2 linked regions of the Neodiprion lecontei genome follow. The protein of the gene in region 2 binds, or shares a complex with, the protein of the main gene of each other region. Links are inferred from orthologs where the notes say so. Each region holds a gene or a part of one and is shown on either strand. Other genes may lie near its edges.

Evidence for each region. The genes of interacting proteins can lie anywhere in the genome.
Region 1: cyclin-dependent kinase 8 (region 2) and cyclin-C share a complex: the UniProt entries of both Drosophila melanogaster proteins name them as parts of the cdk8 module of the Mediator complex. The link is inferred for Neodiprion lecontei from reciprocal best matches to the Drosophila melanogaster genes Cdk8 and CycC.

What each region holds. Positions count from the first base shown.
Region 1 is NC_060264.1:26,472,899-26,479,723, forward strand, and holds cyclin-C, read right to left. Parts: upstream 3,760-6,825; 5' UTR 3,609-3,759; coding exon 3,577-3,608; intron 3,487-3,576; coding exon 3,380-3,486; intron 3,276-3,379; coding exon 3,069-3,275; intron 2,971-3,068; coding exon 2,719-2,970; intron 2,432-2,718; coding exon of another isoform or gene 2,423-2,431; intron 2,087-2,422; coding exon 1,884-2,086; 3' UTR 1,494-1,883; downstream 1-1,493. Other genes in the region: general transcription factor IIH subunit 4, read left to right, coding at 153-358, 471-644, 742-828, 910-1,125, 1,272-1,353; uncharacterized protein LOC107217955, read right to left, coding at 4,580-4,830, 4,987-5,203, 5,317-5,552, 5,825-5,982, 6,121-6,285, 6,391-6,616, 6,697-6,825. UniProt on the Drosophila melanogaster protein: Component of the Mediator complex, a coactivator involved in regulated gene transcription of nearly all RNA polymerase II-dependent genes.
Region 2 is NC_060263.1:23,751,989-23,758,590, forward strand, and holds the start of cyclin-dependent kinase 8, read left to right. Parts: upstream 1-2,101; 5' UTR 2,102-2,185; coding exon 2,186-2,316; intron 2,317-2,585; coding exon 2,586-2,688; intron 2,689-4,512; coding exon 4,513-4,623; intron 4,624-5,261; coding exon 5,262-5,402; intron 5,403-5,533; coding exon 5,534-5,723; intron 5,724-5,805; coding exon 5,806-5,920; intron 5,921-6,162; coding exon 6,163-6,261; intron 6,262-6,440; coding exon 6,441-6,513; intron 6,514-6,602. UniProt on the Drosophila melanogaster protein: Component of the Mediator complex, a coactivator involved in regulated gene transcription of nearly all RNA polymerase II-dependent genes.

The DNA.
Region 1 (6,825 bases), on a different chromosome or scaffold from region 2:
CACCATAAGCTACCTGTGTATTCCTCGTACTATTGGTAGCCTAGGGGGCGATAGCTCTTTGTAACCCTGTGTATTCTTTATTTCACCATACGTTCCAAGGTACCAACTCGTAATACTAAGTAGCAATTAGCTATGATTTGACTACTTTTCAGGTCTGGTACTTCATTCTTCAATACTTGGACACTATAGAAGCCAGGGGTCTGGATCTGGTCGTTTGTCTAACCTTCTTGTTTCAATTGAATTTCTCGACATTGGGAAAAGATTACAGTACTGAAGGTATGTCAGAGGGACTATTGACATTTTTGCAGCACCTCAGAGAATTTGGTCTGGTCTATCAAAGAAAACGTAAGGCTGGAAGGTAATTATTTCAACAAACTGATGAATCTATTCCACATTCTATCTGCGTGTACATACTGAAAATACTTTATAAATATATTAAAATTGTAATACCGTATGTTTTATTTTCTTAGATTTTACCCTACCAGGCTAGCACTAAACATTGCCACAGGTCAAAATAAGCCTCTGTCAAGTGACTTAGAGAAGGAAGGATATATAGTCGTGGAAACCAATTACAGAGTTTACGCTTATACCAATTCTAATTTGCAAGTCGCTCTGCTTGGTCTCTTTTGTGAAATGCTTTACAGGTAAGCATGGAAAAAATTGTCTAAAGCAATATCAGTTTTTTTCACCTATTCAATTTCAGAAAACCAACTACTGATTTGTAATTTTGGCCGTTTTCAGGTTCCCAAACTTGGTTGTATCCATTTTAACAAGAGATTCAGTGAGGCAAGCTCTGAAGAGCGGCATTACAGCTGAACAAATCGTTGGGTATGTACGTAATAATATTGGTATACGCACATTATTCGATGTTTCATTAATGCCCCAATTCTAAAATCATTTCTTGTACAGATACCTACATCAGCATGCCCATCCTAAGATGATTGCCTTAGGACCACCAACTTTGCCCCCTACCATAGTGGATCAAATCAAGTTGTGGGAAAACGAAAGAAATAGATTTATATTTAGCGAGGGCGTTCTGTATAGTCAGTTTCTTTCACAGACTGACTTTGAAGTACTCAGAGATCACGCGCTCACCACCCAAGTTCTAATCTGGCAAAGCGAAAGGTAATGTTATTATATAAAATACAGAATAGGGATGTGGGCTTATTGTCTAACTTTGGTATAATTAATTTTCATTTATTCTTATTTGATATTAAACAACATAGTATATTCAAAATGAGATGATCATTCTTTCACCATTTTGTTTACAGAAAGCGGACTATGGTTGTCACAAAAGCGGGTCATGATGACGTCAAAAAGTTTTGGAAGCGTTATTCGAAAGGAAGCAGTTGATTTCAATTTTTGCTTTGCTTTGGGCATTGCTACCTGCTGGCGAATTCTTCATCTTTCAACTACAGTATGTCTCACATGTTCAGACTGTGTTAATATTATTTACTTCCTGAATGAGACTACTATTTTCACTTTTTGAGCACTTGTAGGTAAAGTGGTTGCAAAAGTCTGCCACCGATCACTCTGGAATAAAGCGGCGTTGGAGTAACAATAATGCTCTTGATGATAACTATAATTATGCCAGTCCTGATAAGAAGTTACAAAGACCTGGAAGCTAGTGGGATTACAGTGTCAATGATATAAATAATTTCTATGATAAAGGTTACGAAAATAAGGAAATAAATTTGATTAAATTTATCAATATTTGATGATCGTAATTTCCCAAATATTCTCACAGTCAATGTAGCAGAGAGCAAAATAATATTCTCTCATTCCTTACGGTCCAATAATTTTTTATAAAGATTAAGTAATTAATTGTACAAACGATCCTCCTGACGTGATTCCCAGTTCAAAGGATCCGCAGGAGGTTGATGTCAGCGTTGCGGTGCAGCCTTTGGTTTCGGCATTTTGCCCAATAATCCTTGTATTTCTTTCTTCTCGTCATAAGTTCTCCACAACTCGTATAAGTTAATTATGTACCTGGCAATCTCCTGAATCTTTTCCATATCCACATTCAACTCGGCAAACCATGACTTTAAATCTTTTTGCAGTATTACACAGGCAATTTGCAGGCAACCTATTCGTAGAAATATATTAAACAAAAGAAAAAATGAAGAAGAAAAACTGCACTAAACTGGTCAATGTTGATACATTATTATACTCCGTTCAGGGAGAGAACGATACACTTACGAAGCCAAACACGTCCAGTTCAGTCGGATTTCGCCTAATACGCGACCCATTTTACCCACTCCAGGTAACTGGACAGATCTTGCAGCTAGCCAGACCCGGCTACAGCCAACAAGGATAACCAGGTACTCAAACTTAACAGTTACTTCAAATCTAACGGTTGATTTGAAGCCTGATGAATCATTTCAAACCGTCGAGCGTCAGTCGTTGCAAAGTTGCGAGTCAGTTCAAACGTGTGAAATTTGAATTGTAGTTTTGTTATTCTGATTGATTGATACATCCGATGGCAGAAAATTAGCAAAAGGAAGTAGAATAAATTTACTTGAGATATAATGAGACTGCGATATTTCAGAGAGCGTGGCCTTTTGGTGCAGGGCACAAATCTACGATATTATAGGTACGATATTGAGTAGCGAGCTCCGCTACCTCCATCCGACCCCCACTGTCCAAACCTGTACGACGCTGTGTCATCCTCTCGTTGAACGCAGTATAGTTTCAAATTATATGATTTAAGTGTCTCACCGATAGCGATTTGGTACGGGGGATAGAGCAGACACACATCTGTGCGCAAGCTGTCATTGACTATACGCCAAGCTAGCGTGAGCAGCTGATCGTCTGGTCCAACATCTTGTACAAGTGTTAATAGTGGACGATACGGTTGATAGACTATCAGACAGCAGTCAAGGTGTTCCAAAAGATAGAATTCACATTCCAGAATGTGATTGGTTCTATAGGGAAATTCCTGAGAGTAGGCATAGTTGAATTTGTTTTTTACTGTAATAAAGGTTATGGAGATTAGCCATTTAAGAAAGTACAATGTTGAAATGATCTGTGATGTGTGCAGAGACTTTGCCACGTGAGGATAAACTCACCGACAGTCTGGCATGTCGTAATCAGCCTGGTGTTCGATGTGACTCCAAATTCCTCTACCTTAGAAGCCAGAAACACGGAAGTTGGGGCCAACAGCAACGGGTCAATACATTTTAAACTGTTGCGGGCAAAGAACCGTTTAAAATAGACGGTGGCTGTCGCTATCACCTGTTGTCGAAGTTTCAACTGTTCACCCAATATTTGAATCACTATAAAATTAAGTAAACGCATATATGATATAGCGTATACATTGATAGTTCAAAGTATCCAGATTTCACTAAGTTTCAACAAAGAAAGCTTTGACTTTACTTACAGTTTGAAAAAAAAATAAATAGTTTTTGATACTCTTCTTCGGATAAAATAGAAAGGTCGTGCTGACGTTCTCGAACTAAATCTTGTTTATCGAGTAACCATTGTTGGCTGAAAATCAAGAATTAAATAATCAATGAATTGTCAGTTCTTATCATTGTGCATATGGTCCACCGGCGTTTTCAGGTTATTACAACTTACTGATGAGAACTGTGCCAAAAATTTCCGGCCATACTTCTCCGATATATCAACGGCTATATTACCACTGAGCGATATTTCGTACCCACTTTCATTTTCGTTCGTTAACAAATATTTTATCTTTGTGTTCTGATTCGTCTGTATGTGCGACAATTGTATACAAATCATCACAGCCGAGATTCTATTCCGACGGTGACTCTTTTTTGAAATACATCGGGTGTAAGATACGTGAGATAGGATACTCCATTAGACACTTCCGGACAAATATACATCTAACTTTTCATTGGCATAGCACGTTCACCGACTGAAACCTTCGTAATGCAATTACCGACAAGGCGATAAAATCATGTTACCGGAAAAGCACGGTAATGAATAAGAGTTGATCCGGAGTTGATAATCAATACAGTTACTATTAATAGTCATACATCTTTGCACTTTGCGCCAATTTACATGTTTTTTCAATATGCGTTTCGTTAGTAAATCCGCACGTGACGCGTCTTTATTTTTGGTAATGGATATGCACATGGTTTTCGTTCATTATCACTACATGAAGAAAAGAAACATAGGCAATACCCCAGCCGTTACAACTTTGCAACTTCAACTATGATTGCATGAATAGTTTAATTACAAGTCAACAATATGGTCATCGATTATACCAATTATACCACGTCAGCCAGAATGTTGTACATTTTTTTTGTATACATATTGATGTGTAATAATTCAAACAGGTAAATGATAAAAGTGGTTTGATCATATTCCAACACTACATTACAATTCGTTCAATAATACACTCACACCTATACATAAGAACCTTCCGGTTGTTTTATCCGCGTGGTTAATACATTGGCGAGACGGTGAAAACAAAGACGATCAGCGTCCGCTGCACGTTCCACCTGCACGTTATGTAAACGAAACGTAGCGTGGAATCTGGAATGGTGCTATCTCAACAGCTCGGAAGTCCTGAACTTCGGCTGGTACTTCCCTACTAATGATGTTAAAAACGGCATCAGCTGACGGATGAGCTGTTGTGATCAGCCCACCGTACACGTCGGGCAACTTCGAAATTACCACCGTGAATACCATAAAGATGCCTGGCCAATATATCGGCACGATCCTCTTCCGCCCGACGAGCTAATCGTCGGTATCGTTTTACAGCCACCAAACAACCGATCGTCAACATTATTTGAACGATAAGCCAAAAAATCAAGAGACCCAAGGCAAGGCCAGCGTCAACGCAAAGCAGCCCATCCAACGATTCTGAAATAATCAAGATTTATATCCGCATCTCCAAAAAATTTGACAGTATTTCTGGAATTCCAGAATAAAGTGATATGACGCGTACGATGATGGTGATACTATTAAAATCACCACAACGCCATATAATGGGTGAAAGATAAAAATTAATGTACTTACGACCACCAGCAACAAGGATGGTGTCTGGTGCTGAACTGTCCCGCGACAGAAGAGGATCTGGTGAAACTACTGGGCTATGAACGAATATCGAGAACTGGAGAGGAATTTTATCGGGAATCGTCTTCGGTGTTATTTCGGTGACATTGGCATTTGTGGGTGCAGTAGATATCTCTCTACGCCGCCTTCCGTAAGAATATTCATCATTGCTGCAGTGAGCCTTGACGGAAAGATCAAATAATGTCCATACAATGGAATCGTTGTATACATTATAGGGTGGCTTGCTGCTGATGAAGTAACGTCTTAAATCGTCATAATAACTTGAATACATACCGGCTTGCATCTTCCGGTGCAAAACTTTACAACCACGTTGAACCTGACCAATTGGCTATTGGGAAACTTGAAGGCAGTGAATTTTGCGACAAGTGAACTGTTGTCTGTGACATCTCGTACCAGAGCTGGAAAGGTGCTCGTGTCAGTTGGACATCCCATTTCATCGAGCAGAAGATAGGATGAATCTCCTCCAGCACTGCTGGCGACCAAATGTCCGGCAAAAATGTCAAATGGGCCTGAAATTTACGTTTAGTCTTAAAATTACACGTTAAGGTTTCAAATGGAATTCACAAAAGTGTACAGGAAGGATTTCGAGAAGGTCAACTATGCAAAAGACACTCGCCGGCGGATAGGCAACCGAAGTTACATTGGGATACTTATTACAGCTTATTATGTATAAGATGTCACTTCAGTTGCCTACCTGCGGGCGAAGCGTCGTTCGCGTATCAACTATCTAGGTATAAGGAATACTCTCGATAAAAATATATACGCGACAAGAACATCATACCGTCGGGCGGAATTATTTCGATCCTCAGAATCAACTTCTGTCCCAGCTGAGTGACGGTCGCGTCGCGCGAAAGGCTCTCATCAAGTATCCTCATCCTTACCATCGGAGCCTCCGATGATGAGTTTACGACGGTTGAAACGATCGGTGGTAAGCCAGCGCTTGGAAAGTAATGATTATAAAAGAACATGCATTCGAAAAATGGATTAAAACCTAAGCCATGCTTGCGCTCTTATACTTCTGGATTAAAACTTTCTATGGAGACACTGTGAAAATAGAATAAACACCACAATTCTCACTTTGGGTCAATAAAATGTACGTCTGAATGTACTGTGATGTTTCTCGGCTGTGGGGGGTCGTCATTTCCGTCCAGGGAACACCCAACTCTCACCGCCTGGTCACCAAGTCTCTGAATTATTGGATTGAACTGCACGACAACGGTGGCCCAAGCTATGGTGCGGCTCCTGTAGGCGTTCGATTAAATTAAAATATCACTTTTAGCATATCGAAAGTTCAACAATCGATGGAGAAATGAAAAAGTAAATTGCGGACTAGTCTCGGGAATATACCGATTACGGCTGTTCACGGATATGACAGGGCTCAGTCCACATTTGATGGTTCTGCCCATAGTGAGATCCTCGCGATGCGGTAAAACCAGCCTCAGGGATGTCAGGTTTTTACCACTTCCTTGCACTCCACAACGTTCGCCCCATCCACTGACGTACAACCTGCCCCAGAAGGCGTCATCCGTGCTCAATTCAACGGTAAGGCTTTCGTTCGTGCATCTGACTCTCACTTGGATGATTAAAAAGATAGCTACAGTTATCATTTCACGAATTGATTGATTTGGAAAGTATCGGTGAGCATTGACTTACGGTCCAAACAGGGCTCGCGTTCTTTGTAGATTAGATCAGGCACGTATATCAGAGAACTTGGTCCAGCACCGATAGTATCGTCGGCATGAAGGAGACACACCAAATTCGACGCAGTTATTGAATTGTACG
Region 2 (6,602 bases):
AGCAATACTATGTGTTTGTAGATCCAAATTTATGTATTGAAGATGTATCTGTGTATACACGGCTTCTGGAGCTTTTGGTCGTAAAAGCCGACCAACATTATCTAATTTTCGTGGGAATAACGTCAGGGAGTTCTGAATTTGTTTATGGGAAAAGTCAGGGAATTATATTTGAGCAAAATGTCGCCGCTCTGATAATGCGAATCGATTGATCGCGGCTTTAGCTTAGCGATTTCGTAAACGGTATACGAAAAAGTAAAGCACTCTCGATGTGTTAAGCCTTTAGGTTTTCGATCAATTTTTTTTACCGAGTTTTCAACTGAGTTTTCAAGTTTAATTGACCGCGCCTTTTGCGCGTTGACTTGATACCTTTTGATTCTGAGAGAAAGCGTGGCATTTGCAAGCCGACGGTCAATTCACGGGGATAAAAATTGCAGAGTGTACAGTGATAGTAGAGAATCTTGTCGTGAGTATTTATAAAACATACCTGAAGTGTACAAAAGTATTTTTTTGGTGATTTTATTTTATTTTTTTTTCAAGGTAATGAACTAATTTTTTTTACAAGCATACCGTTTTTTACAAGTCCTTACTCGAACAAAATATTTATGCTAATAATTCCAGATTTTTATTAAAAACATGTAGACTTTTTCTTGAATCATAGAAATGCTAGAGTAGAAGACTGTTTTCACAAATGTTGATATTGGGCTCGACATAGTTTTTGTCGATGCACGCACTTTTTTCATTGTGCTAATCGTAACTTCGTCTGTTTCAGCTAATAAAACTTTTTGTCTGTTTCAGCTAATCAAATCTTTTGTATTCCCGATGAAACTTTTTTCACCAACATCTGAAGCGATTTCTGCTATGATTTCCGAAATTGTCAATAAAGCCTTCGTAAATCCTGTTAAAATCGAATTGAAATGTGTAAAACGTCTGATTGGAAAAATATCTCACCCCAGGTGACTTGGTAGTGTGTCTTTTTTGAGGTGAAATGTTTCCTCGATCAGCAATATTTCATGGCACTTCCCAATCGACTTTTGCAGGACTTATCAAGGATCTGTTTAAAATTATGAGGATTCTAGCACAAATTGATTTCGATGTTGGTAGCAAAAGTTACGTCGGAATTACTTCAGTTGGTATTTCCGATGCATCCCAAGTGTTTCCGACGTAACTTCCGTTACCAACATTAGTTTAAGTGTTTTAAGTATTATTGTGTAAGAATGATGTGATTGTTTTATTTCTCGCGGTATGTATGTACAATGTTGACCAATGAAACTTTGCAGTCAATTTTCTTCCAAATCATTCCTGCTGCAATACATCTTTTGTCAATATATTTGTGATTTATTTCGTTACTTCCAATCTTGGAGGATATAGACATGGAGGGAGCCTGGTACACCCTTCTGTGTAAGTGGAAAATGGTAACGAGAAGGAAGTAGTACTACATTCTTTTTCTGTTTTGCAGGCTTAGAATGCTTTTAAGCTTGCAGGCAGCACTCACGCTCGTACCACAGAACCCCGGTGCCTGGCTCTAAGGCTTTGTTAGTTTGACGTGTCCGTAGTCACATACCGGAAGCATATAGGCATTGAAGTGTTACTATTGTTGTACAAAGATACCTATTAAGTTTCATTTATTTACTAAAATCATGTCGCTGAAACGTTGCGTTTCTATCGGACTTTTCGGGGCAAATGCCCGTTCCAGATTTATAAGTTATATTGTTTCGTTTGAAAATATGCTAAACATTGATATTATTGACTGTTTATTTCAATAACTTGACCAATAGGCACTAGTGTATAATATGTATTCATATCATTCGGATTATATCACGGCACTCAATTACGATATGTTCGCACCTACCATAGAAGAAGACCTCATGTATTATTACGACGTTCCTCTCTCTTATTGGCTCGGGGGCACTTTTTCAGCGTGTTGCTTCCTTCCTCTATGTCTATCGGCTCTAAGCTTCTAATTAACAATCTTAGAGTTTTTAATTCTTACGATAAAAACGTTTATGAAGACCGCTAACTCAACGCTGTAGTTTTGAGTTTTTGGCGCGCGGCATTCCACGAGCGTTTCCCTTGTCGTCGACGGCGTGACGCTGCAGCATCAATTTGACGCCCGTGAAAATTCAGCCCAGCCTGCAACTTGGATTGAAAGATGTCATAATTTAGTTTGTATGTACTGACATCAAATATGATGGATTATGAATTTAAAGTAAAAACCCAGAAAGATCGTACGAAAGTTGAAGATTTGTTCGAATTTGAAGGCTGCAAGGTTGGAAGGGGAACGTACGGTCATGTATATAAGGCGAGGAGAAAAGAAGGGTTAGTTTATTCTAACTTATCTAACCTTCAATACTCAAGTGATACGTTCCACGATCGAATATTTACAATACAAGTTGTATGAACCGTTGAGCAATATAAATAGACAAAGTCCGAATAGTCAAAATTAAGTTTTGTATAGTTTTTACGTTTTCTGTTACTTCATACGTCTTTAATTTTGACCAATATTATAGTATTTCTGGTTGCCAATTCAACATTCTTGTATCATTCCACATTTAAAATCTTATTAAACACAGATTTTTTTACTTCAGAGTTCCTGACAGCGAGTTAAAATCACGTCCTGATACTAAAGATTTTGGTCTCAAACAAATCGAAGGGACTGGGCTTTCTATGTCAGCATGTCGCGAGATAGCAGTGAGTAGAGCAACTGTACATAATGACATTTTGATTTAAACGTTTCTAACTTTTGCATAACACTTGGGAAATGACTGGCGATTTTAAGCTATCTACAAATTGTCATTAGCTATAAGCGAGGAAATACAGAAATAGGTCCTTCGCTGATTGATGTTGAGATCTGTCGCTAAAGAGACCAAGTGGCATCTCTTTCACTGCAGTTGCTAAAAGTGACTTGGGTCACATGTTTTTTCTTTGTGAAATGTCACTGAAAGTTGTTTCTGATACAATACCACCATGTATCAGTTTTCGATGGTTCCAAAGTCTTCAAAAGTTAAGAGTATTGAAAAACCTCAAACTTTCTGGATTGCAAAAGTCAGACAATTGTCGGAATGTATTGTGGAATATACATCAAAACTCTGTAATGATCCAGTCACTCATAACACTTGGTCTTCACTAAAGTCAGCCTTTCACTGAGGGTGAAGTTTCCTTTAATTTCTCCAAGAGGATAGGCAGTATCAGTAACCAATAATATTTGATGAAAACTAATCCCTAAAACTTGATGAAAAACTTGTTGAATAAGTTTTTTTTTAGTTTTTTTTGCTATAATTTCCACAGAGATGATAGATTCAGTGAATTGAGACATTTCAAAGTTAGGTATTTAAAATTAATTAGAGGATCCTAAGATGCGGAAATAAAATGTCAGTAGAAACTATAATATAAAATTTTTTCCTCAATTTTGATGTTCCTAATGGTAACTAAAAAATGCTAAAGTGACCAGAGAAAGTATTATTGCTTTAGAAAAAAATGATTTTTTTTTTTTGGAAATATCTGAAATCTATATTGTCCTATATTTCTTTAAAATACACATATCAGCTTTGAACCCTTTGAAGTCCTTTGATTGGGCCTTTTTAGGGGAAGTCAGAAAATTTGCAAAAATTTAGTCCAATGTACTTTATTTCCAAGCCTGTGCAAAAATTTTTGGTGAAAGATTTTCACTTGAGATTTTAAAGCATTTAGTAAATGTAAATATTGAAATTTTTCAAATCGTGGATATTCTTCATGTAGAGTGCTGAAAATTAGATCCCATTATTGTGTAAAAAAAGTGGTGCTGTTACCATTGATTAACCATTAACTTCCCTTAGAAGAAATGGTGGAATTTAGCAAATTTCCCATGAAGTATTTATCTGCACAAGATTACTGATTTAAATACATGTACTCATCTATGCCAATGCCATATGTATAAGTAATTACATATATATCACTATTACACATTATCTGCCTCTGAAAACCGTAATCATGGTTCTACGTTATAACCTGTACATTGATAGGAAGCTCTTAAAGTAAAGTAAGCGGTTTTACGCTACCGACAGCAGAACCTTTACTGTGGGCTTCATTTTTTTATGAACATGTGTCGTCTACTCCATGATTTGTCATTACAAAGAAAACTCATTGAAAATACAGAATTTTAGACCTAGAAATTTGTCAATTCTAGCGGATCTTGATTAAAATATTTGTGCGACTATGTCAGTTTCACAGATGTTTACCAAGTTTATTTGGTAACTCGTATAGTCACTATTTGAACTCAGATTAGTTTTTTTGATTGAATAGTTATTTTAAACTATAAATTAGTTGAAGGCTGGAGTTGACTCAGAAGTAGACATGATTATTACTAGAATCGTTCAATTCTGCAGAAAAAGTGAATCGTCAACCCGTCGAAAATATTGCATTTTTTGTCACTGGATACCTTGTGTAACCTATATCCAAAACACTCAGATTGAAATATAATCTGTACACAAGATTTTTGGATAATAACGACATGTTTTTTTCCCTCAAATCTTATAGCTCCTTAGAGAATTGAAACATACAAACGTCATAACATTGATACGTGTCTTTCTATCACACAATGATCGGAAGGTTTGGCTGCTTTTTGATTTTGCAGAGCATGATCTATGGGTATGTCAATATTCAATACAGTTTTATAATCTAAAATGCATTATCAGAATATTTATATTTTACAATCATAATTTAATTTTGGGTTTTTAGCCATGAAATGAATTAAGTTTCACAAATCTTCTTTTATATTACCGTTCCTTAGTACAGTCATACTTGACATGTACTAATACTTATTCGTAATATTTTAGTATTCATTTCTGATCTGGTTCTGAATGGTCACGATATTATCATGATCATTTGTTGTGTTATTTCTGTGTTCCTTTCCCAATTTATACTTATATCACGTCATCCAATATTGTAATATAAAACCAAGGATATAGAAAGAAAATTATTACTTTATAATACTAGCGGTCTTTCCTCAGAGAATTCCATGCATTCATATACTTTTTGGCACTGTATGCTGGGAGTAAGGTATTTACAGATTGGCCAGAAGTTTTATTTTTTAAATTTAAGCATACTTTTTTGTCTGAGACGTAACATAGAATATTAAGAAAAAGACTCCCAGTTACAGCCTCTGAAAATAGTTTGTACACTTCATAGATTTCACTTATTGTTGAACAAAGTAAAACATCATTTTGAAAAATAGTATCAGAAAAGGTTCTTCAGAAACAACCTCTAATGAATACTCTTAATTTCAGCATATCATAAAATTTCATAGAGCAGCCAAAGCGAATAAAAAACCTGTTATGGTACCGAAGGGTATGGTGAAGTCGCTTTTATATCAGATATTAGATGGAATTCATTATTTACATTCAAACTGGGTTCTTCACAGAGATCTAGTAAGTTGGAATTCGAATATGTAGAACAGTGATGTATATAGAAGTTGGCTATTAAAAATCATCTTAATTATCTGCTAAAATAGCCAAGCAATTTTTCGATCGATTGTGTGTATAACTAAGTATATCTTCAGAAACCTGCCAATATACTAGTGATGGGAGAAGGTGTGGAAAGAGGGCGAGTAAAGATAGCTGACATGGGATTCGCACGTTTGTTCAATGCTCCCCTTAAACCCTTAGCAGATTTGGATCCTGTGGTCGTTACGTTTTGGTACAGAGCTCCGGAGCTGCTGCTGGGTGCAAGGCATTATACAAAAGCAATTGGTATATACCCATACTTACCTGTACAACGGTATTCACAATCTCATAAGAATTTTAATTTTATTTATTTTTTAAACATCCTTAGATATCTGGGCAATTGGATGTATATTTGCGGAATTACTGACATCAGAGCCCATATTTCACTGCAGACAAGAAGATATCAAGACAAGTAATCCATATCATCACGATCAGCTCGATAGGTAAGCTTTTGAAGTATATTGTAGAAGCTGACATTGTACTTTCGGAAACTTTAAGCCTTTCACTGCGACTAAGAAACTGCGTCATAATGTAAGTGAGTCTGTCGTGAAAGCGCATAAATATACTAGGAACATACTGTAAAATAATGGCAGATAGCAAATGAAAAGAATTCTCAAATTGATCCTATTGTCTCCACACAGTAACGGCGTTGGTTAAATTGTTAATTTTTCTGTTTATTCACCAGAATATTCAATGTAATGGGATTTCCATTGGAAAAAGATTGGGAAGATATAAAAAGAATGCCAGAGCATCCTACACTCCTCAAAGACTTCAAGCGATCAAAGTAAGCAAAGTTTGATTCACTGATATTTTTTGTCATACAATCAATTTTATCAATCGTCTGTATTTTCTACACTTACAAGCTGGTCGTTCAAAACTTGAATGATCTGAATTCAGTATTTTAATATCTCGCATTTATTCATTGCAATACTTACTTCATATTGACTTGATTTATTTTTACAGTTATGCCAATTGTTCCTTAACTAAATACATGGATCGCCATAAGATTAAACCGGACAGCAAGGCTTTCAATTTGGTAAAACTTTTAGCTGCTAATAATTAGTTGTACCATTAAGTCTGATTATCTTTGTGAATTTACAATCGAAATGCATACTGAGAGTATTC